Linked DNA regions of Coturnix japonica. The protein of the gene in region 4 interacts with the protein of the main gene of each other region in a pairwise test. Links are inferred from orthologs where the notes say so. Each region holds a gene or a part of one and is shown on either strand. Other genes may lie near its edges. The genes, in order: SIRT6; TXLNB; fatty acid-binding protein, adipocyte; VIM; MRPL44; YAE1; SMARCB1.

Region 1 (4,026 bases), on a different chromosome or scaffold from region 4:
GGGCTGCTTGCTGTGGTACTGGCAGAATGCAAAGGGCATAGACACCCTCCTGGGTCATTGCAAGCTGCAGCAATCAGCAGTCATGATATTCAATTCTAAATATGGTACCTGCAGGCTTCATCTGCTAGTGTGAGGTCACGGTCAGGCAGGGAATCTTCCCAGTCCAGAATAGTGTCTCTTAACTTCCCTCTATAAGAGACACAAGGACCACTGTTACCCTGCCAGGCAGGAATGGTCAGCAGAGATGGCTAGGAGACAAGTAACAGCTCTATAACCCAGACCCCCTGTCGCCCTGCAACACAAAATCTGAACATCAAAATCACTCACTCCTACCTCCCAGGTACTCTGTGTCCCCTCTTCATTTCACAGCACCCTGGGAAGCCCCATCCAGCACCCCTACTCCCATAGCTGCCCCAGCAGACGTACCTGCAGGCCCGTAGCCCTCGTGCTTTGGTGACGCTGCACAGCCTGCCCGTTGGCTTCAGCCCCATGCTGCCCACAACAGCATCCCGCACGTACTGCCTGCACACACAAGAGATGGTGTTATTTACAGCCACACGTATAGGGTGACTCACAGCAGCCACACATAGAGAGGTGACACAGCTGTGAAACATCCCCACAATACAGCATGTTCCACATCACAGACACCTGGGAGTGAAGGAAGCAGGTGATGGCTCAGAGCCACATGCAATGAGCTGGGCACCCAAATCCTTCATCAATTTCAAACCACAGCTATTGCTTACAATAATTTCCCTTTTAGGGAGCTTTGAACATCAGCTCCAAGGCCAAGAGAGGCTGTTACCATCCAGGATGCAAAGCCCAGCCTGCAGCAACCTTCTGTTACCTCTCTAAGCAGGCAGCCTCACTTGCCACAATGAGCAGAGGGTTTCCCAGGCAACAGAGGTTTCTCAAAATGTTTATTTCCCACAATATGACAGGGTTTGTGATTCAGATGGGACAGATCTGACCATGATTCCATGCACTCTGCACTAGGGACCTCTCCTGACAGGCAGCCCCAGGTCTGTGCAGTCCCTCCACTGTTCCTTAGGACAACAACAAAGCCCCCACCTGCTGCTGCCCACGTACTTGCCACATTTCGTGCACTCCTCCACAAACATGTTCCCGTGGAGCTCAGCCAACTTGTCCCTGTGAGAGAAATGACAGAAATGAATGGAGAACACCTTGTGCATTTAACACAAGAAACATTGTTCCAGGGTGGTTTAATAAGGTAGGGAGAACAGCCATGCTTTGGCATCTGGGAGAGACTAAAGGAACCTGGAGGCAGGGTGGGAGAGGCAGTACCGTGGGAATCCTGAGCGCACATGAAGGCCATCCACGTTCTGGCTGACCAGGAATTTCAGGATGCCGACTCTCTGCAGCCCCAGAAGTGCCATGTGAGTCTTGGAGGGCCTGGCGTTCTCAAAGGTGGTGTCAAATTTGGGGGAAAGCCCCTTCTCTTCCATAGTCCAGACACCATTAGGCCCCCTGCAGCAATGGGACAGGAGAAGGAATAAGTGAGATCTCAGGCTCTGCTACGCTGCTTGTAAATGCATCCCAAGCCCTATCAGTGCAAGCAAGGCACTGCTAAACAAGGACCACACATTCCTGGTTATTTTAGTTCAAAATGCATGTAGGGCTTCTGTGGGTACAGTTTAAAATCAAAACAGGAAAAGGTAGATTCAGCTGGATATAGGACAAGACAAGAGCAAAGAGGACATGAAAGGATGGCACAGGTCTCCCTATAGGCAGGATGGCTGGCAGGAAGCCCAGCCTAGATGGAAGATGGACTCAGATGAGGTGCTGTTGTGTCCCCCCCCCCCCACACACACACAGTGCCTGCTGCCCTCTGCCTTTACCTGAAGTCAGGGATCCCTGAAGCGGTGCTGATACCAGCCCCTGTGTGGAACACCACATTGGAAGAGCTCCTTATCAAGTCTGCCAGCTCACACACCTTCCTCTCCAGCTCTTCAGGTGGATCAAAAATCTGAGCAGAAGAAACAAATCCCAACGTGAATGGGGATATAGAAATGGGTCCTACATGCCTCCTGGTAGGCACAAAGAGTCAGCAAACCACTCTTCTATCACATCCACAATGGAAACCCCACGCAGGAAAGGAAATTTCACATTGCTTAATGCCAAATGTACATAATGAGGGAATAAGGCTTAAAATGAGGGAATAAGGCTTAAAAAGAGCAGGATGGGGGACAGCGATGGATGGGGGTCATGGGCCCATTCTGATTTTTGGCACAGCACAAATTCATTTCTATAGGACGGTTCTTTGCTCCCTAGAATGGGACAGAACTCCGACCCTTTTACAGCCCCATATCCTCACCCCAAAGCTTTTCTTAAGCTTATTGAGCATGAATGTGGGGGTTGGGGGGGACATAGGGATGGGGTCAGCCCAGTAGTGCCCACCCCAAGGTAAAGGGCCGGCCCTAAAGAATAAAGGGGACACGAAGACGGGGTGACAACGGACACAGAGCAATAGGAAGAAGGGAACGGAGGCCGGGACCGGGGAACCCAAAGACCCCATGGTGCTTGGGGTCCCCATGGGGCACAAGGCCTATGGAGGCCTTGGGGTCCCCATGGAGGCCCTATGGAGGCCTCGCAGGCCTCAGGCTATGCAAGGAGATCCCTCCACTCCGCTCTCACCTCGGGGAGGCCGCATTTGCCTTTATCCGAGTAGGGCGAGAGCCCGGCCGCGTAATTCACCGCCATGACCCGTCCCGGCTACCGGAGAGCTCATTGTTGTCGGTCCGCGAGCAAGGAGGCCGCGGCATCAGTGCGCATGCGCAAAGGCCTGCCTAGAGTAGGCCGCAGCCTCAAGACGCATGCGCAAAGCACTGCCTAGAGTAGGCCGCAGCCTCAAGACGCATGCGCAAAAGTCACGCCTAGAGAAGTCCTCGCCGCCATCTTTGTGTTTGGCAATAGGGAGCTCTGCCCTCACCCTGCTAATACATCCATTATAAAACATAGAACTTGGAGTGGAAAAAGACAAGGAGCTGCCTATGCTAAGAGGTGCCATGCAATGAGTGCATACAAAGGCAGAGGGCATCAGCTCTGCTGGCCTCAGCCATGTCTTACAATACCTTGTCTTACAATGTCTTGTCTTAAAATGCCTTGTCTTACAATGCCTGCAGACCTAGATCCATAATAGGGCTGTGATAGAATGGCTTAGGTTGGACAGGACCTTAAAGATAATCTAGTTCTACTCCCATACACTGGTCAGGGTTACCAGCTGCTGGGTTATGATCCCCAGGATCCCACCCAGCCCTGAGTGCCTTCAATTGGCATCCCCAACTTCTAACCAACCTGTTCCAGCATCTCCCTGCCTTATGAATGAAATATTTCTCCTTAACACATAACCTGAAGCATCGTGATGGTTTCAAACCCTTCTCTCCCTCATCTGAGGCTTCCCCAGCCTTGCTATAGTACCCCCTCCCTTGCAGCTGCCCTGTGTCTGGGTGCAGGGGTTTCAAGGATGTCAGTGCTCCTTGCCCTGCCTGGTGCTGGGCCCTCCCATGTTCCCCCCCCCCGGGCTGTAACTGCAGAGGTAACCCAATGCCAGTGTGTGTGTCCCCCCCCCCGTGTCGTGCTGTGGGCCAGCAGCAGTGAGACAAGGTACAGACAGGGCTGGTGTTGAGCTGGACCCGTAGCAGCAGCAGAAAAGCCTTCAAAGCTGCCCTCTGCAACAGCCACATCCCTACAGCCTGACCCCAGCGGGCAGATGAGGCTTTAAGGCTCAACCCAGGTACCACGGGACTGCTATGAAGAGCCTGAAGGCCAAGTTCAGGAAGGCAGATGTAAGTGCTGTCCCCAAGGACATAGGGATGTGTCCTGGGTTGTCCACAGGGATGTGGGGATCTGCCCTGGGGTGTCAGTGGGTTTCGTGGGGGTATGGGGACACAGAGATCTGCCCTGGGATGTCCCATGGGGACATGGGCACCTGCCCAGTGACCCAGCTTCCACTGGGATCATAGTTGTGAGCAGGGCAGAATAAAGGAAGGGAAAGCAGCACCGAGGAGA
Region 2 (3,500 bases), on a different chromosome or scaffold from region 4:
CTGTATCTTTTAGGTAACTGCTGACAATTTTTATCAAATAAAGTTATGACAGCTGCCGTGGTTTTCAGTGGTCCCTATCAGCCATAGCAAAGACTTAAAAAAGGAAAAAGTGAAGCCCAGGGAGGTTTTACTACTGTTAGCAGAATAGCTATGTAAGTACACAAGCACTTGCCTAGTCCTTTCAGGATTTTCTTCTCCAGCTTTTGTTCCTTGCTAGTGCTGGGCTCCTTTGCTCTTGAAGCATCTCCAGGGGCTGGTTTGTCTTTCTCACTTTCTTCATTTGCATCCTCATACTCTGCATCCTCCATATTGCCCACATCTCCCTTCTCCAGCTTGTCAGTTCCTGCTGTAGTGCCATCCTTCTCCATCAGACTTGCTGCAGACCCATAGGTTTTAATAATGTCCTCCAGTTGCCGGCTCAGCTCCTCTGAGATGTCACATGTGGCTGCTTCAGTCTGGGCACTGGTTTGGTCTGTGGGGGGCAGGGGCTGTGAGCTGGGGACAGGTTCCTCCTTGCTTTGTCCCTGAATGTCTTGCCTAGGTGAAGTGGAAACCTGCTGCTGCTTCTCGGTGAACTGGTCATTCTCCATGCTTGGTGCAGTACCTGACAGCAAAACAACATAGAGTTAATTTAAAAGCAGAGAAATCAGTTTTCTCAGTGATCACAAGGCTTGGCCAGGATGTGAGTGATCTGGTGTGGGATTTGGTGTGGCAGGTCATCCTTTCACTTTGGCTTGATGAATACAACACACTGAAACAAACCAACGAGGTGATTTACCTGTTGGGAGAAAAGTGAATTGTACATCTGCCAAGAGGAAGATAACACTGACAAAGCTTGACCTCTTGTTACTGTTGCAAGTGATAAAGCACAAAAGGGCACCAGAGCCATCCATACTACTTCCTTCTCTGAACACAATTTGCCACTTGCTTGTTTTTCTTGATTAGTTTCACCTGCAATACTGGCTATTGACACAGGCAGCTTTGCTTCAGATTTGCATCACTTTCACTTCCTGTTTCTCACCCATCAGCACATCTTAAGTCAATAATAAGGAAAATGAAGTTTTTAGAAGAAGCTAGAGAACTGAGAATTATGCTCTTGGAGTGCCCAGCATGATGCTTGATATGTGAATGGCCTTGCCTGGCAGTGACATAGTAACAGCAACAAACAGTTCATAATAAGATAAACAACTACAAACCACCTTTCTCTTGTACTTGCAGTGCACTGCTGACAGCTTGTTTGATAAAGTACAAAGCGCTGAATAAATCAGAGCATTGTAAAATCAACCAGGTGTAACACAAATTGATATTCAATGCTAGTATCTGGTTTGAATGTTGCATAATTGGCTCCCCAACTTGCAGTGGAGACTTTGCATTTTTCCAGACACATCCAACCCACAGCCCACAGGCTGCATGCAGCCCGGCACAGCTGGCACTGTGGCCTCCCCCTGCCCCATGCCATCATGGCAGCAGCCCGGCCCCTCAGCACCAACCAAACATGGGAGTGCTATCAGCCCCATGGAGGCACAGGGCAGTGCCAGCTCACAGTGCTGGCAGATACGTTGATGGATTTTGATACGTTGGCTAGACACAGTCCTGTGAACAGAGAAAAATACGCAGTGCTTTTTCTTTTGATAAAGTACAGATGAAGCAAACATGTGGAATTGGCACATTCATCGACACTTGCTGAATGCTGAGCAGTGAGGTGGTGGATGATGTGTTTCAACATTCCTTCTTGTAATTATATGATTCATAATAATGTCAGCCAGGTACTTAGTGGGGACAAGGAACAGGAAGGATATTGCTTTGTCAGATCTAAGGAAGCTGCTTTCTTATTTTTGAAAAGACAACTTGTTTTGAAAATATGGAGCTAAATGAGAAGCATTTTGTTTCCTGTTCAGTTGGCTGTAACATATATTTGCTATGGTGTCTAAGCTTCTGCAGCTTTCAGAGACATAAACAAACTTGGCCAAAGGCAGTGTGTGATAACAGAGTTGTAGTTCATTGTTATACATGACATGGTGTTTGTTGTTAAAATCTCCCCAGTCAAAGTGGTTCTCAGTACTGCAGTAACTGTCACTACTAAGGCTAATACTTTTCAAGATTTGATTGGTGAGATATCTGATCAGACTTATGGATATGGTACTCAAATATTATGTTTCATCATCTCTAAAGCAATTCACTGTAAGACTATATTTGAAAGCTTTGAGTGTGGCTCAAGATGTGCCTAAAAGCTGGTATCTACAGAACCATGGCCCCCTCCAAACACAACTCACCAACAGCAATGACTTGGAAAGACAGCTGGATGCAGTCTCATGGACCCCATCAGGCAGATGCATCTGATTCTTTCCTTTCTACATTTGGCACAGTCTGAAAAGTGATGGTAAACTTATATTGGTCAGATTTGGTGTCCTACTGACTTCAGTTTATCTTGAAAGATTAGGCCTTACATGTACAATTTAGGTAAGCAATTTCAGGTTAGGCAGACGTTTGTGATCTTGTTTTGACTAGCATTAATTGACAGCCAATTAATACCACTTCAGTAATATTACTGCAAATGCTAAGCTAGAAGCTCTGCAAAATATGTTTTTGTTTCTGACATGTTCAGGCTAGTATTTACAATTGTATTCATTAATTTGAGGTAATTGGCAATTGGCAATCAATCAGCTAGAAAATCCAGGATCATCAGCTCTTGTTTAGATAGGAAAAAAATGTTGTGAAATATATCCCCAATTTAAGCCATGTTGTTTTGTAATATGTTCAACACAGAAGGATAATCAGATCACAAATGCTTCACTCTCAAACACGAGTTTCTCTTCTTCCTACCTCCCCTTCTCTGTAAGAAGGCACATGTTGATGCTCCTTCTATCAGGACTCGTAGTGAACCCCTGAAGTCTTGTTGAAGACATGAAGTGGGATGGCTGTGTCCTATGTCAGTTCTTCTCCACTAAGAGCTCTTGTGAAGAGCACTGGAAGCCAGAACCTGGCCCTGCTTTCCCTTGGGAGCTGCTTTTCAGCTGTGGGCATACCAGTAGCCCCCTCGATCACAGCAAGGTCCCAGACGCACCTATGCGCATCTTCAGCCTCTATTCGCTTTGTCCCAGACCTGAATGCATCAGTAGGGCATCCCTGCTTGCCTATGGACCTGCCCTATCACTGCGAAAGTGCTGGTGGGTTTGCAATCTGTATCTATCTCTGAACTCCCCACATACCCAGCCCTGACCCTAACCCATATCATGGCTCCTTGCGGTGAAGTCCCTACTTCCGTCAGCCATGTCATCATGCTGGCTCATGGCTCTCTTCCAAGTCTTAACAGCATCACTCATGAAGCATCACTGTCTGGCTAAGGTTCTTCTCCTAAGTGAATCACTAAGACTGCCTACAAACACAGTAGGTTCTAAATCAGCAGCAATGATTGAGTTATAAACAGTGTTTCTCAGTTAGAAGTGAAACACGTGGGTGAACTGAAGAGAAACTGAATGTTTTGAAAACAAACAAAACAA
Region 3 (4,045 bases), about 92 Mb from region 4:
ATATTCATAGAAGCCTAAGATTAAAGCAACATCAAAGGACTTCTTTGGCCTCCCCAGGAGACTGCTAATCTCACTTTCTGGGCCTTAACACCCAGGGAGCACTTTTGATATAGGCAGTTGTCTCTTGTCCCCTCACCTTCTCTAGCTGTGGCTCATCTTCTCCATATGTGTGTGCAACAGATACACAGACGTATGCAGTGCAACTTACAGCTGCGTGTGTCATCCTCTGCATTTTAGGCTCTGTCCTCATCTCTTGTTCTGCTACATCAATTTCTGCTCTCTTTAGTCTTTTCTAATGAATTCGTTATCAAACACTATTTCTTATTTATTCTCCTTTGGTCTTTATCCAAATAAAGTATTAAAATTGCAGACACATCATTTTCTCTAGGGAAGGCAGAACTCTACAAGAATTTAATGTATGTGCATCATTTTCTAGCACGTAGGAATCCCAGCTGCCTTTTACAAGGACATCGTTAGTTTTCCCCTAGGTATTTGGAAGGTTCCTGGTAGTCTGCAACATGCCCCTTAGACATTGCTATGGGGGAGGGGTCTACTGGAGATGAACAGAAGAAGTATTTTGTGTCAGAGAGGGTGCACCTAACACAGACTTTATTAATGCATTCTCTATCCTGTCCAGAAAATATAAACATTATAAAATATAAACATTTCCCTTACTGAGATTATAATTCACCCTATTCTTTCTTAGCCATTTGTCGCTATGGATGGAATGCAGATACCTCTATATCATTCCATAAGCTTAAGAGCCTTTCAGTTTTAATACATGCTGCAGACTTGTTCAGAAGACTTCTTTCTCAGTGCATAGTCTTGTCAGATGTTTTTATTGCCTGTGTTTGAATCCAGTGTAATATATCCATCAAAACAGCATTCTGTTCTGAGTTTTGTGATTAGCAAAAAAGAACTCACCACCACCAGGTTTCCATCCACCACTCTTCTCTTGATAATAGTCTCTTTGCCATCCCACTTCTGCACCTGCTTCAGTACGCCATTGTCTAGGGTTATGACGTTCTGTCAGAGGAAAAAAGCAAAGTGTGACTATTTCATCAGGATGCTTTGGGCCAAAGAGAATACTTTCTCCATGCCCAAAAAGTACTGAAGCAAAAAGCAGTCTGAGCACATTTACGTTTGAAGGCAGCGTTTCAAGAGTGGATGTCAAAACAGCAACTCTGTCCTTCTTTTCCAACAATCTTTTTGAAATATATATGGTTGGAAAATGCCATTTTTGGACTCACCTTTGTTTTTCTGTCATCTGCTGTGGTCTCATCAAACTCTTCACCCAGCTTGAAAGAGGTCTCTGTGTTCTTGAAGGTACTTTCTGATTTAATGGTTATCACATCACCGTTGATGGTGATAGTTAAATTCGGCTTGGCCACACCAGCCATCTTCCTGGTAGCAAACCCCACACCTGTAAATTATAAAGGACACTATGAAAGTTTTATCTTCATGATTTTCCCTTATCTGGGGAAAATATGGGAATCTCACCATCACTTTCTTCTTCTTTTTTTAATTAATACTATGTAGGAGAGGTTCTTTTGTAACATCTCATTAGCTTGTATGTTCATACACCAAGCCAGATGGGATGAGATAAGGGTTAGGGTTAGGGTTAGGGTATGCTCTGTTGTCAGAGTAGCAAAAGCAATATTTTGAAGACTGAGACAAAGTTTCACTGCCAGATATTTGCACATGTGCATGCTCCTGATAACTGCAGTGATTTATGCACTAACTTGTACACTATATCTAAAAGTAAATAAGCAGAAACATATGACAGTTTGTAAGCCATGAAAACAAACAAATACAAAATCACTTAAACTGCAGATATGTTTACCAGTGGCTAGGCTGAATGAAAGGAAATGATTAAGAAATAGTTGGCAACTCTTATGTCCTGAGTAAAATCTGGGGTAAAGATGAAGAATCTCACTGAAAGCCATATGAATGCATGCTTCAGAACTTGCAGTGAGTGCTTTACCCTCAATCTCTAAATAACTCCCTGGACTGATCCAAACAGTGCAAGTTACCCCACATTTCCCCCATCTTAACTGGAGTACGCAAACTTTTTAAAGCCCAATTTTAATTCAAAGTGAGAAGTCTACACCTTTAGAGTGTTACTGATTGGATCTTCTGCAAGTACCTGCAGTATCTGCATGAATCTGTGCAACTTCCTTCATTAATATTCACTGGAGACAGTCATAGAGCTTCGTACACTGTCTCTGATAGCCATAAAAATTAATCAGCATCCTAGTCCAAGAGCAAATTTAGGTGTGTTGCTCTTTGACGCAAAGAAGCTGGCTGCATTCTAGCATTACACTACTTTGTACTTCCAAAAGCTTAAAAGCAAATTCACGTAAAATGCTGCAGCAAAATGTTTACTTTCATTTATAGCACTACCAGTTCGGCATGCATAGACTTGGCCTACCTGTAACTATTCCTCCTAATCAGGATTTTCCTGTGTTATAGGAGTGTGACAATACTAATCCAAACAGCCAAGTTCTCCAGCATAAAACTATTTAATAAAAGCAGTTGGACTAAAAAGACCTTAGTAAACAGCATAGCCAGAAAAAGCAAGTACGAAATAGATCTTGAATTCAGCATTCTTTCCCTTCCCCAGATAAAATAATTTCAGGTAACATTTCTCACCCAGCTCTTTCATATAGTCCTCAAAGTTTTCACTAGAAAGGAGCTTCCAGGTGCCCACAAACTGGTCGCACATTTTGTCAGGCCAGGTAGCAGTCTTTCACAGGATCAAGCAGAAATAGAAGCCGTGAGGATAGTATGAGCTCCAAGAGATGAGCTTTAAAAAGGAGCCTCGGCCACATGATGTACTAGGATGACCAATAAAGAGGGAGTCCTTAGTGCCCAGTGTTTTCCTTCCTCCCCTACCCCTCCTTTGCCAGTAGGTCACAGTGTTATTATTCATATGCCCTTACTAGCACAAAGATCACTGTCGTTTTTTTATTTAATTATTTTTATAATTCAAGAAGACACTTCACCATAAAGACAAATATTAAAATCATATTTTCTCTGAGAAGAAAAAGTTAGATTCAACCCCAAGAGGGTATGCTGCCTCCCATATTCCTTTTCTTTCATTTCAATCCTTTATGTTGTATGAAAACAGTTAATTCCTAGGCTGCAAGATCTGAAAGACTTGGGATCGTTTACTTTTCTTTTTGCACAACTAGAGTTAGTGATTTTCTACAGAGAGTCACAGAGCTAGAGGAAAAAGTGGACCTGGGGGGAGAACGTGGGAGTGCCGGTGGCTGTTGAAGGATATGTCCTACTTCCTTGGCTGAGGACTGAGATCCAATCGGTCTGTGTTCTGCTTTCCTGGGATGCAGTGGGGACAAAGTGTTCTATGAAATGCAGAGTAACACAACTGATGACTTGTCTCGCTTTTACTTGTGTTCCCTCCAGTGACCTATGTCCCAATGACCAGCATGATGACTACTTCTTGCAAAAATCTAGGTAATGGTATCAGCCCACTGAAAGTCTCTGGATTTATCATTTTCTTTCTGTTTGCATTGTTTGTTTATGTAATTATCAGCTCGAGACAACGTGTATTCGGGCCTAGCATAATGAGATCTACTCTGACCAATTCTCTAATGCTATCTTAGCTCAGATCACAAAAAAAAGGAGGCAGCAATTTACTAGACATTCCTTCTGGCTGTAACACGCTATTACACTGTCAGAAAAAAACACGTGCATTCAATCATGTACATTCTTCTTTATTATATTTATTCAATACACTCTTCTGATCACTGAAACAAATATGTTTGTCCACATATTTTGACATAATGATGTAATAACAAAATTGTTTGTATATAATTGTAAGATTATAGGAAAATTCAGATGGGATGATGCAGCCTCGGGCAGGGCCAGCTCACACTGGGCAGCCCAGGGCTGCATCCTCTGGAGAAACTTGGACAACTCTGAGGATGGAGCTGCACATCCTCGTGGGAAACTTGCTCCCTGTCCAGCCCTGTGTCCCTGGGGAGAGAGGCTCCTCATCTCCAGTCTGAAATGCTCTTCTTTA
Region 4 (4,231 bases):
GTGCATTTACTCTGCACACTTTAGAGCCATGTAGATGAAAAAGGTATTAATAGCCTGAGCAAACAAGGTTTCAGTCACACATATGAGTAATTGGACTGACTACATATTGATTTTATCTGAAGAGAGTCTTTAATGGCTGAACATCCTCATTTATTTCAGGAAAGCCCTTGTTAGCCAGGAGCTGACCTGTGTGCCTTGTCATGGGCTCAGATCTGTTCCCTGCTGTCAGAGCATCTGACAAAGCTGCGGTACATAACTTCCTCATTAATTATGATGCCTCTTTTGTTGCACAAAGCAGTCACCAAATCCCTAGGCTTATTTGATGTAGAACACCCCGCAGTATACGTGGAAAGTAATGTGGCATCTCTTGTTTAGAGGAAAAAATTCAGTAACTCTCAAGCGTACTTTCTCTTCTAAATCTGCACGTTAGAACTACTCTGTTGTGGCAGGGAAAAACTGGGTATACTTTTGTTCAAACCAAACCCAGCAGCATGCACTATTTGTGCCACTGATCAACTCAGACAATGATCTGCAGTTTTTACATGTAAAGCTGAGTGGTTACATGGGCTCAGTGCATGGGCAGAGCAGCTGGAGGCTGAGTGACAGGGCAGGGAAGCAGACAATGAATGTGAGGCACGCACAGCACAGCTCACATAATAGCCCGCAGCCTTTACAAAGCTGTGTTGCTTGGAGGGAGAGGAAGACGTGCCTTGAAGTGCACCAGAGAAGCACGCATGATTGAACTAGCTTTAAGTCAAAGGAGCTTGTGCTTGAACTCTAGTAATTTGAAACAAAAAGGGGAAATGCATCTGCACTGACTTGGCAACTACTTGGATGGGCTCAGCCCTAGTAACACAGCAGCCTGGGTTAAAGGCAATACCTGGAACTGCTATTTCAAGCTTCAGCCCCCACAATGTCAGTGGACACCTCATTCCCAGCCCCTGCCATGTGTCTGCTCCCACACTGCCCCACTAAGACCACCAGGGAAATGCTAAAAACCAAATGACAGCTTCCTACATGGTGACACCTACTATTGCCTATGCAGAGCTCTAAGATGGTCAGCCTGCGCCCAGCTGTCTGGAGATACAGGGCAGCTGCTTCCAGCTCAGAGGAGTGATAGCAGTGTTTTTTCACCCCAGCAGTTTTCAGGAAGTTCTGTTGTTTTGAGAAGGCACATTCCTAAAGTTCTGCTCGTCCAACCAGCCCTCAATCCACGCCAAGAGCTGGTTTTGCACAAATCAAAACTTAAGCTCAGAACTTTCCGCAGGCTTCACAGTTGGTTCTGGCTGTCACATCGGCTTTGGTTCAGCTGTGTGACACCGCAGCTTCCTACAGACCAAACTCCGGTGCACTGTATCTTACATTAACATCTTTGCTTATAAGGGATTGAATTCTACATTCTTAATGCACATCAAGGGGATACAGACAGCTGCTGTGAGCTCATCCCGAGGAACCCATTGTCTGCTTCTGATCAGCAGACACCACTGATAGGAAATACTTCAAATCTGGGACAGTTTCCTGAGTGTGCAAAGTGATGCGGCTCATCCAGAACCGAGTTCAGTATTTTACAGAGTCTCCCCCAGGAACGTGCCCCCACCATTACACATTCGGTAGGAATGCAGCCCACGGCAGCCTCCCCTCCAACACAAAGGGATCCATTATTTCAATCTGCTGCCACCACACCGGCCATAATGCCTGGATCTGCATTCCTCGGTGAATCCCATAGAAACCATTAATACCCTTCAGCCCGGCGCGCAGATGGCTGCGCCTTTTCACAACTATTGGATCAGAAAGCGATTCCACGTCGGAGCGCTTTTGTGGAGCCGGCCAGACCGGGATAAAGTGGGACAATAGCCTCACCCTCCCCTCCGGACTGCGGCACCCCCCTAAAGAAAACAACGGGGAGACCAAGGGGCTGCGCCGAGCGCCTTTTGTGCGGGCAGAGCCAGCCCGCATCGCCAGCCCCCAGCCCCAGCCCCGACCCTCCGCCCCCAGCGCCCCGCGGCGGCCGCGCCCACCTGTCGGAAGGACTGCAGGGTGCTCTCGGCCTCCTCCCGCTGCAGCATCTCCTCCTGCAACCTGCAAGCAGCGACACACGGCCGACGTGAGGGAGGGAGGTGAGGGATGTGAGGGTGGGTGCCCGCCCCGCGCCCAGCCCCGGCCCCGCACTCACTTCTCCCGCAGGCGCATGATGTCGTCGGCCAGGTTGTCGCGCTCCACCTCGACTCGGGCCTTGTCGTTGGTCAGCTGGTCCACCTGCCGCCGCAGCTCCCGCATCTCCTCCTCGTACAGGTCGCCCAGACGGGACGTGCCTTTGCCCTTGAGCTGCTCCAGCTCGGCCAGCAGGATCTTGTTCTGCTGCTCCAGGAAACGCACCTTCTCGATGTAGCTGGCGAAGCGGTCGTTGAGCTCCTGCAGCTCCACCTTCTCGTTGGTTCGGGTCTCCCTGAACTCCGAGTTGATGGCGTCGGCCAGGGTGAAATCCACGGCGTCGTGCATCCTCATGGGCGGCATGCTGCTCCGCAGCCGCACCGACGTCGCCTTGGTGGCGTACACGCCGCCGGGCGAGGCGGACACGTAGCGGGCGCTGCTGGGCCGGAGGGCGCTGCCCAGGGAATAGCGGGTGGTGGACGTGATGTAACGGGTGCCGCTGCTGGGCCGGCTGCCCCCGCCGAACATGCGGCGGTACGAGGAGTTCTTGCTGCTGGTGAAGCTCATGGCGGCAAGGAACGGAGCGGCTTTGTAATCCGGGAGCGGAGCGGGGCTCGGAGCGCGGCGGGCGAAGAAGGGCGGTGGCCCCAACTCGGGGCCCCTCTTATGGGGCGCCGCCGCCCCGCCCCGCCCCGTCCGTCTCCAATGGCCGCGTCCGAGCGGGGAGGGGCTGGGGGGGAAGGGGTCCGTGGTTACAGCTCGGGGACAAAGGCGGCGGGACACGGGGCGGTTGCCGAGGTTCCTTGGGGCCCTACGCCCCTCCGACAGCGCAGTGATTCCGAGGGCAGGACGGGCTGCGGTGCTCCGACAGCGCTCCCAGCACGGGCCGAGCGCTTAAAAATGCGTCTGTGCAACTTTGTGCGAGCCCCGTCCCTTTCTCCGTATCTTGCTGAAAGTCTCCGGGATCGGGGGAGCGATGCTCGCTATTCACTAAGGGCTCCCAGACATCCAAAGCGGGCAGACAGAAACACGAACCGTCGATAGGTTTGGGGTTAGCTGCTTCCGACGGCACCCGCAGCCTCCCGTCCCGTGCTCAGGGCTCAGCGGCTCCCGGGGGCCCGCCCTCATTGATGCCGGCGGAGCTGCGCCCATTGCGGACGGGCGCTGCCGCACTGCCACGGCTGCAGCAGGGACACCGCTCTGCCTTCGGGCGCTGGGCTCCTGGTCACTTGGAGCGGTTTAACCAAGGGTCTGTTTGCTTTTAGTTTCTGTAGGCACACGGTCATTGTTTCAATAAAGAGCTCTTACAAAAAGCTCGTTAGAAGTGATCCCCAAAGAGCCTCAAAGGCAGGACATGCCTCATGCTTCTACTGCAACTGCACTATCGCAGTCGGGCTGCCAAGTGAGACAGGAGAACCAATAGTGTTGGCGTAAGATTGGATGGGAAAAACCGGAGCAGCAGTAAAAGAATTCCCCAAGACCATTTTAAGCGTGAGTGCGGAGTGGTGTAAGGGAGGTGGTGAGATCCCTGTCCTTTAGGGAACGTAAAGCTGGGCTGCCCAAAGCCCGAGGCACGTTCTCCTAGGGAACTATCCCACACTGATGCATCTGATTGGTGACACCATTCTCCTCCTTGCTCTAAAAGTGACTGACACAATGCAAAGCTATCTGCACTTATGGGGTGTAATGCTACCACTGGATTTAGTTTTTCTAACTTGCAGCCCTGCAGAAGCAATGTCTATGTTGGGAGTTCTGATAAACCTAAACATGAGCAGCGGGCAGGGAGTGAAGTGATGTCTGTACCCCAGCTCACAGTAGGGTTGGCTATTGCCCTTCAGGTGTTGTACCTTATGGGAAGAATCAGAGCCCTAATATTTAATTAAAGTTGTAGTGGGAGATTTTTGGTTGGCTGCTCAGTGCCTGTGTTCCTTTCTGTGCTGTAGTTTGGTTCTGATGGCGATAAGAAGTAAAGGAACACAGGCAAAAAGCTCAGAGGGAGGCAGCAAGCGGCTCCCAAGGGAAGATGCTGCACTCAGCTCACCGGGAGCTGTCACAGATTGCTGGGCTGCTAAGGTGCACT
Region 5 (4,211 bases), on a different chromosome or scaffold from region 4:
GCTGCTAAGTGCCATTTGCTTTCTTAAACCAGACCACCAGCATCAATCCCACTGACATCACGTTCTACGTTTTCACCAGGCCAAGGACAAATGGATCCAGACACAACTCACAGACCAACGCTGCACGTTAAGTTCCACTCATCTTATTAGCAGCACCTCAGAACCAGTCCCAAGGAAGCACACAAGACACTTTTTTCTATAGATTCTGAACACGCTATTAAACATCATTAAGAACCTTCTCCTGTCATTACACTTCTCGGCCAAAATACATCCATTCAGGAAGATAAAGGAACTTTCCCTGTTGAGGACAATGCCTGGACATTAAACATTATATATAAGAAAGAGAATTCATTTGTCTTATAACCATATTTAATTTGAAAATTCCAGGAACTTGACATCAGAAAACCAAACTGAACTTTGCTCTCCTGAAGGTGTCTGAGTTCAGCATAGAAGCTGTTCATTCTTGAGAGAAACTGGAAACAGTCTGTGTTATCTAGTTGCTGCTGATGGCCTTTTCAGCTGTCCATCCTTCTTTAGGATTCGAGTAATCCCACGGCCTCCTGTTCTCAGTGTACCCATAGAGCTTCCGCAGCGCCACGCGAGCAGCTTCTTCCTCTGCAGCCAGCAGCGTTTCCCCGGGCCCTTCAGCTATGAGCTTCTTATCACTGGGACAAAAGCAAACACAACGTTTTCATCAGAATCCTGAGCACTGCTGTACACCGTGGGTCAGTGCTGCTAAATGTGTTTCCCCCCAGTCTATCACTACTGCATGTAATTTCTACATACAGGCACCAGCACACACATTCCTGCTGTTTTTTTTCTTGCAAAGAGGAGCTATTGGATATTCAGCAATGGAAACTAGAGACCATTTACATTAATACCATACTAACCAGTACAGCCCAATGAAGTACAGTGGCAGAACCGTGCTGACCCCCAGCTGCCTGGTAATTCTTGGTTCTGGAGCAGCGATATTTCTCTTGGCCAACTCTTCCACCAGCAAACCCATAGGATTTACAACCTCCCAGATCTCAAACAGGTCTTTTCCAATCAGTTGGGGAATTAAAAAATCCTAAACAGAAAAATATTTAGAAGTTAAGGTCAACGGGAACAACAGCTCTAACTCCTACTGCCTGTGAACAAAAGCAATACGAGTAATTAATGCACCTGACAGCAGATAACTGGAAGGAATAACCAAACTGCCTCAGCACTACAGCATGGCTGAGCAGGACCGGGAGGTGTCGGTGCTGCTGAGCTCTGCTGGCTGAGCTGCTCAGCGTGCACACCAAGACAACCTGCTCCCCTTGAAAACGCAGCACCCGCCTGATGGGCTCATAGTGCTGTGGGCAGCTCTGAGTGCGAGCTGAGCAACTCAGCACTGATTGTAGGGACACCCAAACAGAGGCTGCGTGCTGCAGGGTCCTGCCAGAAGCTGAAAGTCCCACACAGTCCCATGTGATTTACACCTGTTCTGACCACTGTCTTGTCTGGTAACTGCTGCTTGCTCTTACAGACCCCACCTTGTATCACAAATGACATTTTAGCTAATAACTTCTCCATTCCAACATAGCAGTAAGTGAAAAGGACAACAGCTGTCCAAACTACCTTGTTATGCTGCAGTTTAACTGAGTGTTCCAGTATGAAAAGATCTTTGGATCTTTGTGCTCCTGAGTGCAGAACTTATGAACTCAGTGTGTTTGATATGAAATTAAAATGAAAGCATGCAATTTTTTTTTAAATTGAAGGCATATGTAATCTGACATGGGACCACTTCATTGTTTGACAGGTAGCATAAAACGTGGAGGGAAACACTGCTCCTTAATGAGCAATAGCAAATAGGAAGGCATTGCTGTTATAGGAGTGCACGGCTTAATGTACCTGAGCAGCCTGAGCCTTTTTGTTCTGGGGCAAGAACCCAACAAGCTCTCTGGCTCTGGTCACTAAGGAACAGAGTAAGACACACTTTTTGCCTTTCTTCCTATAACTTCGCCCTTTCCCCCCCACCGACACCATCCCTTATTGCTATCAGCAGAGAACACCACTAAGTCCGGCGCACCCTGACGAAGAGCCCGGCTCTCTCAGTCCCGCTGCTGCCCAGCAGAGCTCCCACCACCGCGAAGAACGTGTTGTGCAGCACGGCCGGCGGTGCAGGGAACTCCTCGCACAGCACCAGGTCGTGCAGCGCCAGGTTGTGCGCCACGTAGGACACGAGCTGCTGCCCGGTCAGGAAGGACACGAGAGCCGCCACCCCCGGGGCGGGCAGGCGGGGATGGGCGGCCTCGAAGCTCCGCGTCAGGTACGAACGGGCGAACTCCATCCCTCGGGCCGACAGCTCCGCGTTGTCTCGGAGGTTGAGGGCGACGGCGTCTTTATCCACGCCGAGATCCCGGCGCTTCGCCTCCTCGCTTTTAATGTAACAGGAATTCACGAAGGCGGTTTTGAGGAGCTCCAACGAGAAGTTCTCCTGCAGGCGGTGTCCGAACGCCTGGATCTCGGCGTGGTAATCCCAGCCGGGCCGCTCCGAGCTGCGGGCGAAAGGAAACGCGGTCAGAACGAGGCGGCTCCGGCATCACGAGCGTCCCCCGCCCTCCCTGCGGCTCTCACCGCCGGCGCGGCGCCTCCCGCAGCCGCTGCATCTCCAGGTAAGCGCGGACCCAACGCTTCTTGTCGCGGCGCGGCGCGGAGCCCGGAGCGACCCGCCCCGTCCCGGCCGCGGGCAGCAGCCGCCGTGAGCCCCGAAGCAGCAGCAGCACGGCCGACATCGCGGCGGGCCGGGAAGGGAAGGTCCGTCCGATAACGCGTCCCCCGGACGGAAACGCTCCGAGTGGGAGCGGTACGGAGCGCACAGGAAGCGACGGAGTAACCGGTCCGTCTGTCTGTCCGTCCGGATGGGCTTCACAGCGCAGTTCCACTGCACACCAGGCCAGGCAGCCCCACATCAGGCTCTCAGCTGTCTGCTTGCTGCTGCTCTTACTTCTCAGGCTTCCAATTCAGACAAACCCTCACAGTTAATTAAAATAATCTTAAACACATCTTTAAATTATTTGTTTTATTAAATACACTGCAGTGGGCTCTCGTACACCATCATCTTTTGATTACAGCCCGACTCACTTAAAAATGTATTTTATAGAAAAAACATCTGCAAAATGAAAGCTAAAATGAAAAGAAACAAACATGTTACACACCTCTGGACAGTCTGCATGTTGGCAAAGACCTTTTATTGTCTGACCCGAACAGCCTTAAACTAGGAACATACTCATGAAACAGGACTCACTCCTTGAGCACGGCACAGCTCTGATACAAGTGAGACTGAAGGAGAACCAGCAGTGCCGTGATGTGCACTAACAACAGATCAATAAAACCTTGTTTTTATTCCTTTGTGTTGATGTTTCTTCCAAACCCAATTTGATCGGGTTTTCCCTCCTAACCACAACAAAAATCCAGCCTTTATTCCTGTTGGACACTCCTTACATTGCACAAAGCTTCAGTTCAAAATCAGCTGATCCGTATTTACATTGAAGCATGCAAAGGAGGATACTGCGAGTATTCACAATGCGAATCTATTAAATACAGCATAACTGAACAACGAGGTGTCCCTTTAACACCGCAGTTTCTACAGCCTTTTTCTGTGGTGGAGGTTTCCAGTGTATGAATTATAAAACAGCATTACAATTCAGAAACAGAAACAAAGAGTTTTGCAAATTTTGTTGGTATTTTGATCTACTAAATCTCTCAGAGCTGTGCCTAGCGCCGAAACCAAAGCCAGCTATTGAGCAGCCAGAAAGCTACAGTAATTGAATACATGATCATCTCCCTCTTAGCACGCTCTTTGTTTTCTTCTTCCAGAAGCTGGAGACGCCGATTAAGTTTGACGATCTAAAAACAAACAAACACTTTTAATAGTTTTAATAAAGTTGCCAGACTTTCAAGAAGCTTAATTAAGAATTAGCGTTGTGCTTGATGGATTTTAAACTCCTGTTTATGTAACTTTCCATCTTCAATTACTAACCTTGCTGCCCCTGCTGAGTAGGAGCAGAAATGGAGCTGGACTCTCCAGACCTCCAGAACAATACAGATTTGTGCAGGCAGTGTGGCAGGGATACAGATAGCAGACCTCAACACACCTGTTATATAACTTTATATTACAGCAGACAACCTGCTCTCCCATTTTACCATTACAGTTTTTCCTTAATATTATCAACTGTTATGCTTTA
Region 6 (4,197 bases), about 59 Mb from region 4:
GGAAATCAACCGGTTCCTCCTTTGAGTTGGGTTAGAGGCACTGATGGCTGAAAGATGAGCGTGTGTGATACTGATCTGAATGGCAGCAATCCTTTATCAGAAGCATTATGCACAGTTATAACTGTAAAGGTTTTTACATTCATATACTTTACTTTTGGATATCTCTGCTGGCTGACTGCTTAATGGCAGCACTTAACACTAAGATCAAACTGATAAAAATCCTTCATAGTCTCATAGTCTCGTGCGGGTTGGAAGGGACCTAAAAGATCACCGAGTCCAACCCCCCGGGATTCGGGCCTCTGTGTAGCAGAGCGGCAGTTCTACCACTTGCGCCACAGGGGGGATTCGAACCCAACCCTAAGCTGTTGCAACGCGGCATTTCTACCACTGCGCCACCGGGAAACACAATTCCTAGTCATCTCCAAGAATGCCTTAACAATCCTAAGCTCTGCACAATTGTGTAATGGCCCCCTGAAAACTCCCCCCCACACCCTCCAGGTGAGCAGAGAGTAACTGCTGAGCCAAGCATTTATGGTTCTAAGGTACCTTTGTATGCCAGATATCTGACTGAAATTATCCAGATTTTAATATTAGAAATGGCAATGAATCACAAATCAATTCCTTGTTTATTTTTCACACTGTGGGGGGGGGATAACTCTTCTTATATACATATTCTGCAGAAATGCCAGAACAGTTCTGTAGCCTGTGAAATATTGTTCATGTGTTTTAATCCTCTGGTATGTGTCATTGCAAAACATCACCATAATACCCAGATGTTGCTTTATGTAGAACACACACAGGTTAGGAAAACGCCCCCACTCTGAGGCACTACACCTCACTCTCAAGCCCTGCTAGTAGTCATGTCAAGGCCGTCAGCATACAATTAACTTGTCTTCAGCAAGTACACTTCATAATCCAATAGTGCTGCTCTGTTTACACAATATGAGTCACTAAATTATCTGCTTCTAAAAGAAAGGGATGGGAATATGAGCCTTCATCATTATTCCTCATATGCACAAGGATTTGTCCTAAACAGACGTGTGTAGAATTATCAACCATGGTAAAATTAAGGCATTTAAACTGAGATAATCTGAATATGGGAAACTCACACTGACTCTGAGGTATGACTTATACACCTTTCCTAGAATATCAAGCAGCTGAGGGTAAAGAATAAGGTGATAAGCAAGAAGTAGGGCCGGTGCAGCAGCCCCGAGCAGGAGCACCCACATTCAGTCCTGCCATTACAACCACGCTCGCACTCCCTCCATGGGGCAAGGTCCTCCCTCCCCGGCCCGCCTCCTTGCGGAAGCTGTAAGTCTATGCCCTTACTCAAGATGGCTGCCGGCGTCCTGTGACTCAGACGGACTTGGAAGTCACGGTGCTGCTGATTAAGATGGCGGCTTTTTACGGGCCGCATCCGGGGCAGCGAAGTTAGCGTGCCCTCAGTCAAGATGGCGGCCCCCTGCGAGCGGAACAGCGCCGTGACTCGGCGGCCGTGGTGAGGGCTGAGGGCGGCGGGGACTCAGATGGCGCCGGCGAGGGGGGATTCTGGCTGCCGACAGGTCGGAAGAGGGATAGATCTTCTCGGTCCTGCAGTTTGTGGGGAGCTGCGGCGCCAGCCCGGGCTGTGAAATGGCGGGTTGTGGCCTGGCCGAGGGGCCTCTGCCTGGAGTCCCCCGGGCCAGGCTGTGCCTCCTCCCGTAGGGCCCTCAGGTTCCTCCTGCTGGTCTCCAGGTGTGCCGGGACGTGCTGGCATTGGGGGATTGCGGGCCTTAAATGCTGTTGGTATCTTCTGCAGTCAGTATCACTCTGAAATCTTATCATAGAGAACCAGGTGTACAGCTCTCTCATCTATCCAGCTCACTTTTCTTATGACATACCGAACAGTTTCTTCCTTCCCGCACCTGCTACCTTACACCATTAATTGCTGCATTTTGTTCTCCCTTCTCTGCTCTTTGTGTAGGGGCTATTTGTGAAACTCACTTTGGAGCTAATAAGCTGTCACTTAATAGAGATGGTTTAAGGAAATATAACATCTGGTAGCAAGTGCTGTCTTGCTGAATATCTTGAAAAATAATCTCTCAAGCCTGAGGTACTGTTGTAAAGTTGTATTTACTTGGATGTTTTCACCACTTTTTGATTGGACATTGGGAGGGATAAGCTGATTAAGCAGTCAGTTCACATTAGTGAACTTTGTGTATAAGAAGAACTGCAGTTCTTGGACCAGTTGTTTAACTGCTTTAATGCTTTCCAAAAGACTCTGTGTAATGGTACTGGAAATTCTGGAAGATTTGCTTAAGATAAAAATTGGATATGATGAACCCAGAAGCGTGATTTCACCACACTTCCTTGTATCCACCATTCTGTGGGTTGTAAGAATTTGCTCCAGTTAACTGTGAATGGCCTCTTAAGGTCTTATCAGTTCCTAAGATGAAGTAATCACATTATTTATTCATCTCTTTACATCAGAACTTGCTAACTAATTATTAAAAAAAAAAAAAAAAAAAGTAATATTTTTATTCAGGATTTACAAGCATTAAGCATCTGGCAGAGTTAGGAAACTGAAGATCAAAGGTGCAACTCATCATCAGTTGTCAAGATCACAATATTGCAGGCAATTAGATATGCATATAATTTAATGCACTGCTTAGAAGCTGCATGGGACTATTTGTTGGCTGCTATCAAAATTTTATAGCTCTGGATAAGTGTTTCTGTCTGCTGTTCAAGTTACTAGCAACATATAGAAATGCTAATTTGGTGCACTTCTGTTTGTTGCTGACATAAGAAGCAAAGAAGGGAAGAAATTAGTCTTAAGTTGTCCTTGTAAATCACACAAGGTGCTTTACTGGTAATAATTTCTGTCTCCTTTGACAGATGAGCTCCAGTGAGGAATAGCATCCAGTTTTCACATGGAAATGAATGTACAGGTTGAATAATCATCCCCTGATACGGCTTCTCTTCAGAACTCATGTTTTTTACTTTTATTTCTAATCTGACACTTAGCTGGGAGACTTCTGAGAGTTTCTCAGTATTTGCTTTAGGCCATAAACAAAAGTTAAGTGTCATCACTGCTGCTATGTCCTGGGTACAAGTTGTAGCTAGTCGATCCAATGAGGACATATTTGATGAAGATGCAGATGAGATGTATCCAGTACAGAAAGAATGGAATAACACCATGAAAAAAAGATTGAAGGTATTTCTCTAAGCATGATTTTTATAGTCTTTTAAAATATTTTAGGTTTACCAGTAACATATCTTGCTAAAAATATGGCTGATTTAAATGAGAAAACTAAGAATGGCTGTATGAAAGTTATTGTGGCTTGGTTTCTTCTGAGTGTTAAAAAAAATTTAAGAGGAAGTTACTATCTTCAGTAGCCTGTCAGGACAAAGTAATGTTTTACCAAAAAAGATGTTGACTCCCTCTACACAACTATGTGCATTTCTGAATGGCAGTGCTAAATTCTCATGTAACCTACTTGCTTCATACTTGTAGGTTAATTGATGCTAACAAAGAATAGAGGATATTTGTTGGTGTTTTTTTGTTGGGTTTGTTTGTTTGTTTTTTTAATATTTGGTGTGAACTACTTCAGGTCTGAGTAGTTTTTTGGCTTATTTATTATCTTAGTGAAAAATACATTTTATGAAAGCAGAGAACAAAACAAATACATAAACTTGGGTTTCTCTGACAGATGTTTTCATTCAAACTGGGCCCACTAGGGCTTATCTTGTGGGTGAAGAACATAAATGTATGGTAATGTGATTAGAGGAGAAAGAAATAAATTTCAATTCTCCAAGGAAACTTTGTTAAGGGAGTTGGTCAGCACAAAAGTAAAAGTGCTTTCCTGTAGACAAGTCTTTATTTTCTGACTTAGCTGGAGGTTTGTTTAGAAATGAACTGCATGTTAACAGATCAGCAGCATTAACAGTAAATTATAATGCACTGTAAAAAATGTGTTTTGCTTTAGCAGTGGTGTAGTTGAGTGCAGTGTTCAAATTAAAAAAAAAAAAAAAAAAAAAAACTTGGATTTAAGAGACTAAGTGCTTAAGGTTTTTTATTGTTGTAGAAGTGTTTGTAGGTCCAATTCTGCAGGCTGTGAAAAGTGTGTTTTACCACTTCTGTTATAGGAGGGCTATAGAGATGGTGTTGAGGCTGGGAAAGAGCTTGCAATTCAGGAAGGCTTCAATCAAGGTTATAGA
Region 7 (3,500 bases), on a different chromosome or scaffold from region 4:
GCGGAATAACTTTGGAGCAACCATCACTGCTGTGGTTTGGGAATTCAGGAACTACCCAACCACAAAACCCAAACATCATTAATCACAGGAAGGTTTCAAAAGTACTCCTTTGCAAAAAGAAGAGAGGGAAGAGGAGGGCATATTTGTACTGTGACAAAAAAAGCAAGTCTTAAATTAGGTGCTTTCTGCCTCTGAATGGTTCACAGCTATTGTACTTTATTTCTGTGCTTTCCTTCCTCGTTTTTAAATCACCCCCTTAAAAAATGGCAACAGCCTAAAGAAGGCCTGAAATCTACCTATTTGAGCCACCCCAAAAACAAAGCACTCTTCAGCAACCAGGGACACATATAAAGTAGATGTGTAAAGCAGCAGGGAAGAAGAAGCAGTACTAGAGGCATCATATTGCCACTGACTGCCCTCCAAGCTCCCACCCATCCTCAGCAACACATACCCACTGCTCTAGCTGTTCCACAGCACAGATCTGCAAATATCAATCTGCTGTCATGGATAGCAAGGGAGAAGTCAACTCCCTGCTCCTAGAGAAGAGTTTAACTTCCATGTGAACCACACTAGGGATTAGCTGCAAGCTTCCTTGAGCTGACCTCCACAAAACCAGCGCCAGTAGCACCTTTCTCCCACCTCTGCAATACATCACTTGCTGAACTCTCAAACTTCCTCAAGTGTCACCATGGCCTGAGGTCAAAAAACCCACCAGCACACATTAAGGAATACTTAACAGACTGCAGACTAAGCAACATATGGAGGATAACATCTGTGCAGTACATTGCCACAGAACTCTGCACAGCACAACTGGAAATAATTAATATTAGGAGGCAAGTTACAAAGCTGACTAATCAAACCTGACACTGTTGCGTTCCAGCTAAGAGAACTGCCTGTGATCAAACCAACCTCAACTTCATCCAGGGCAGAGAGCTACAGTGTCAGTCAGGCTTAGCTCAGAAGACCAAAGCTTGGCCCAGGTCAGACAGAGCTGATGAGACAGAAACGTATCCAAGGCTCATCATGTGCAGACATTAGAAGAAGGCACAAGGTTTTCTGACAGTGTTAATTAGAAAAGCCTTTCACTCTGTGGCAAAAACTGATTTCATTGATATTTGGCCCTGGGATGCACTACACCCACCACAAAAAGATCTCTGAGCAAAAGCACAAGCTGGTTGAGAGGCACCAGGATCTACAGAACAAAACACACCAGGCTCCAGATCAAAACTCTTCATTTCTTCACCAGTCAGGCAGCCAGCAACAAGGGGCTGTGCCTGAGGAAGACATGACTGCAAATGTGTCACGTACATTTAGAGTGCTATGGTTAGATCCACTACTAACATTTCTGTTATCCAGAGGACTCCATCCATTTCATACAAGCAGCACAGTGTCTCTTACAGCTCACCAGTAACACCTCACCGTCCCATGACGTGTGACTCACTTGCCACTTCAAGACAGACAACTGTCCAGAACAGTGAGAAGAAATGAAACCATGTGAGCTGCTAACCTTGCACAAGCAGTGGTCCTTAGATAATACCAGCTTAGGGGATCACCAATTGATGAAACAAAAGGATGTCCAAGAAATAAAACAGTCTTTTAAGAACTATATAGTATACAATCTATAAGAACCAATTTCAAATTAAGCTTTCTACACTGTGTCAGCAGTTCAAGATTCGTTGACGTTAACAGCCATGAAGTAAGAAAACACATCTACACCCATCCAGAAAGATGGCAGTTCTGTACCTGAAGGCGTATGTCTTCTGATGCCAGCTCAGCTGTCCCCGGATGCTGTAGGCAATAGTAGTGACAAACTCCCCACCCAGGCCAAGCTCTGAGCACAGCTTCAAGGCAAACTTCTCTGGTGAATTCTCCTTCTCTGACATGTCCCATTCAAACTGGTCTACAAGGGAGATGTTCCCTACGTGGATGTTAAGCTGGAGACAAGGGAAGAAACGAGTCATTCATTTCTCAAGGACAAAATCTAACCTGGATAAAGGATTGGAATTAGGAACTCCTTGGTTTTGAGGGAAGTCTTTGTGCTATCTCTCCCCCATAAATAAATAAACAAAAAATCCAAAAAACCAAGAACACAAAACTAGAGAAATGCAAGTATAGTTCAGCTCTCATTCTACTGCCTCCCTGTAATTTACCTTAATAATAACACGCTGGTCTGACTGATCCTCTAGGATGCTGTCAGTTGGGTATGATTCAATCTGTTGTCGGATGGCAGAGGCAATAGCAGGGACAAAGGTCAGAGGATTCAAATCCAGGTCATCACAAAGAATCTCTGAGAACATTTCTGGGGTCATCAGCTTTTCTGATACAGAACAAGAAGACATTTTTCTCAGCCACCAATGTCTGCCACTTACGGAATACACAAAATTAAGATCCCATCTAACTTTTCAGATTACAGGTATTCAGGAATTACTGCAATCCATGGAAGTGTTAGGGATCTGCTAAGAGCCATGAGAGCCGAATAGGACACATCACTGTAGAAGAGCTTAAAAGATTTTCCTATATGGGGCAAGGACTTGCTTGTTCTCTCTTCATATTTGGTAATGAATGCAACTGTATTTTTCTAGTCTCAGGAAACTCTCCCTCCTACATACCATTCATGTTCCATGTAAATGCATCTCTGAGTTTCTGTCCATCAATTTCCATATCAAGCCTGATTGGAACCAGAACCTCCGGCTGGGATGCGTTCTCATGGATGACTGCTGGGTCATGGTCATCAAAGCTAGAACAAAGAACATCAATAGGGCATGTGGAATAGAAAATGATACATCTGGCATGCATAGAAGGAAGGTGCTTTTTATTGTTACCATCCCTATACTTCAACTTTTCAATTATTAGACATAATCCTCAACACAAAGTTACAGGGCTCTGGCAGCCACCTGCCTATCAGAGCAGCCCCCTGCAGTGTGTCATGTTAGTAACTGTTTCCACTTTTCTGAAGAAGGAAGCTGTCTTACCACAGAGGGAAAGTCCTCTTCTTGTCCCTGCCCATGCGATTTCTGTTAATGGTTGTTGAGCATGGTACTGCATCCAGGTGATGAGAGCTGTTGGGCAGTGTCGGCACCCATTGGTTGTTCCTCTTTGCCTTCTGTTCTCTGCAGAATGACACTCTGTGTTAACCTGCAGGCCCCGAACACCACTGCCACTATTTTTAAACTTAGTATCATAAATTACGAGTTCCTTCCTAATGACAGTTGGACTGAGAACTCATTCCACATTATTGCCTTCAAACTCCATTTTCCGGCCCACAACTATCCACTGCATACGAATCCAGGTGTACCACCAATACATGCTTCATATTTGGATTTCCTGTCTATGTTTACAGAGGAACTGCTGAGAAATGCGACATCTCCAGCAAAAAGTATGCGCAGAGAGTGTTCTGCAGAACATCTGCTACAGTTGGAATGAAGTAACTGCAAAATGAGCTGTATCATCAAACACTAATGTTTTTCTTCCTGTAATATGTGGGCAGCAACCCAATCCTT

Evidence for each region.
Region 1: the proteins of VIM (region 4) and SIRT6 interact in a two-hybrid assay, tested with the Homo sapiens proteins (2 studies listed by BioGRID and IntAct). The link is inferred for Coturnix japonica from reciprocal best matches to the Homo sapiens genes VIM and SIRT6.
Region 2: the proteins of VIM (region 4) and TXLNB interact in binary tests that used the Homo sapiens proteins (3 or more experiments, as listed by UniProt). The two-hybrid records come from large-scale screens. The link is inferred for Coturnix japonica from reciprocal best matches to the Homo sapiens genes VIM and TXLNB.
Region 3: the proteins of VIM (region 4) and fatty acid-binding protein, adipocyte interact in a two-hybrid assay, tested with the Homo sapiens proteins (2 studies listed by BioGRID and IntAct). The link is inferred for Coturnix japonica from reciprocal best matches to the Homo sapiens genes VIM and FABP4.
Region 5: the proteins of VIM (region 4) and MRPL44 interact in a two-hybrid assay, tested with the Homo sapiens proteins (2 studies listed by BioGRID and IntAct). The link is inferred for Coturnix japonica from reciprocal best matches to the Homo sapiens genes VIM and MRPL44.
Region 6: the proteins of VIM (region 4) and YAE1 interact in a two-hybrid assay, tested with the Homo sapiens proteins (2 studies listed by BioGRID and IntAct). The link is inferred for Coturnix japonica from reciprocal best matches to the Homo sapiens genes VIM and YAE1.
Region 7: the proteins of VIM (region 4) and SMARCB1 interact in binary tests that used the Homo sapiens proteins (3 or more experiments, as listed by UniProt). The link is inferred for Coturnix japonica from reciprocal best matches to the Homo sapiens genes VIM and SMARCB1.

Annotation. Positions count from the first base shown.
Region 1 is NC_029543.1:1,710,488-1,714,513, reverse strand, and holds the start of SIRT6 (NAD-dependent protein deacetylase sirtuin-6), read right to left. Parts: upstream 2,801-4,026; 5' UTR 2,719-2,800; coding exon 2,653-2,718; intron 1,985-2,652; coding exon 1,857-1,984; intron 1,486-1,856; coding exon 1,303-1,485; intron 1,147-1,302; coding exon 1,087-1,146; intron 523-1,086; coding exon 427-522; intron 190-426; coding exon 109-189; intron 1-108. UniProt on the Homo sapiens protein: NAD-dependent protein deacetylase, deacylase and mono-ADP-ribosyltransferase that plays an essential role in DNA damage repair, telomere maintenance, metabolic homeostasis, inflammation, tumorigenesis and aging.
Region 2 is NC_029518.1:48,828,089-48,831,588, reverse strand, and holds part of TXLNB (beta-taxilin), read right to left. Parts: intron 2,368-3,500; 5' UTR 2,274-2,367; intron 605-2,273; 5' UTR 591-604; coding exon 173-590; intron 1-172. UniProt on the Homo sapiens protein: Promotes motor nerve regeneration. May be involved in intracellular vesicle traffic.
Region 3 is NC_029517.1:109,983,698-109,987,742, forward strand, and holds the start of fatty acid-binding protein, adipocyte, read right to left. Parts: upstream 2,801-4,045; 5' UTR 2,726-2,800; coding exon 2,653-2,725; intron 1,424-2,652; coding exon 1,251-1,423; intron 1,027-1,250; coding exon 925-1,026; intron 1-924.
Region 4 is NC_029517.1:18,030,649-18,034,879, forward strand, and holds the start of VIM (vimentin), read right to left. Parts: upstream 2,801-4,231; 5' UTR 2,719-2,800; coding exon 2,174-2,718; intron 2,118-2,173; exon of another isoform or gene 2,097-2,117; intron 2,080-2,096; coding exon 2,019-2,079; intron 1-2,018. UniProt on the Homo sapiens protein: Vimentins are class-III intermediate filaments found in various non-epithelial cells, especially mesenchymal cells. Vimentin is attached to the nucleus, endoplasmic reticulum, and mitochondria, either laterally or terminally.
Region 5 is NC_029524.1:7,918,896-7,923,106, reverse strand, and holds MRPL44 (39S ribosomal protein L44, mitochondrial), read right to left. Parts: upstream 2,801-4,211; 5' UTR 2,760-2,800; coding exon 2,602-2,759; intron 2,523-2,601; coding exon 2,054-2,522; intron 1,070-2,053; coding exon 891-1,069; intron 666-890; coding exon 494-665; 3' UTR 128-493; downstream 1-127. Other genes in the region: MFF (mitochondrial fission factor), read right to left, coding at 3,742-3,873. UniProt on the Homo sapiens protein: Component of the 39S subunit of mitochondrial ribosome. May have a function in the assembly/stability of nascent mitochondrial polypeptides exiting the ribosome.
Region 6 is NC_029517.1:76,799,809-76,804,005, reverse strand, and holds the start of YAE1 (protein YAE1 homolog), read left to right. Parts: upstream 1-1,397; 5' UTR 1,398-1,498; exon of another isoform or gene 1,499-1,562; intron 1,563-1,623; exon of another isoform or gene 1,624-1,734; intron 1,735-2,874; 5' UTR 2,875-2,968; coding exon 2,969-3,193; intron 3,194-4,125; coding exon 4,126-4,197. UniProt on the Homo sapiens protein: The complex LTO1:YAE1 functions as a target specific adapter that probably recruits apo-ABCE1 to the cytosolic iron-sulfur protein assembly (CIA) complex machinery. May be required for biogenesis of the large ribosomal subunit and initiation of translation.
Region 7 is NC_029530.1:7,053,063-7,056,562, reverse strand, and holds part of SMARCB1 (SWI/SNF-related matrix-associated actin-dependent regulator of chromatin subfamily B member 1), read right to left. Parts: intron 3,111-3,500; coding exon 2,973-3,110; intron 2,738-2,972; coding exon 2,610-2,737; intron 2,318-2,609; coding exon 2,151-2,317; intron 1,935-2,150; coding exon 1,744-1,934; intron 1-1,743.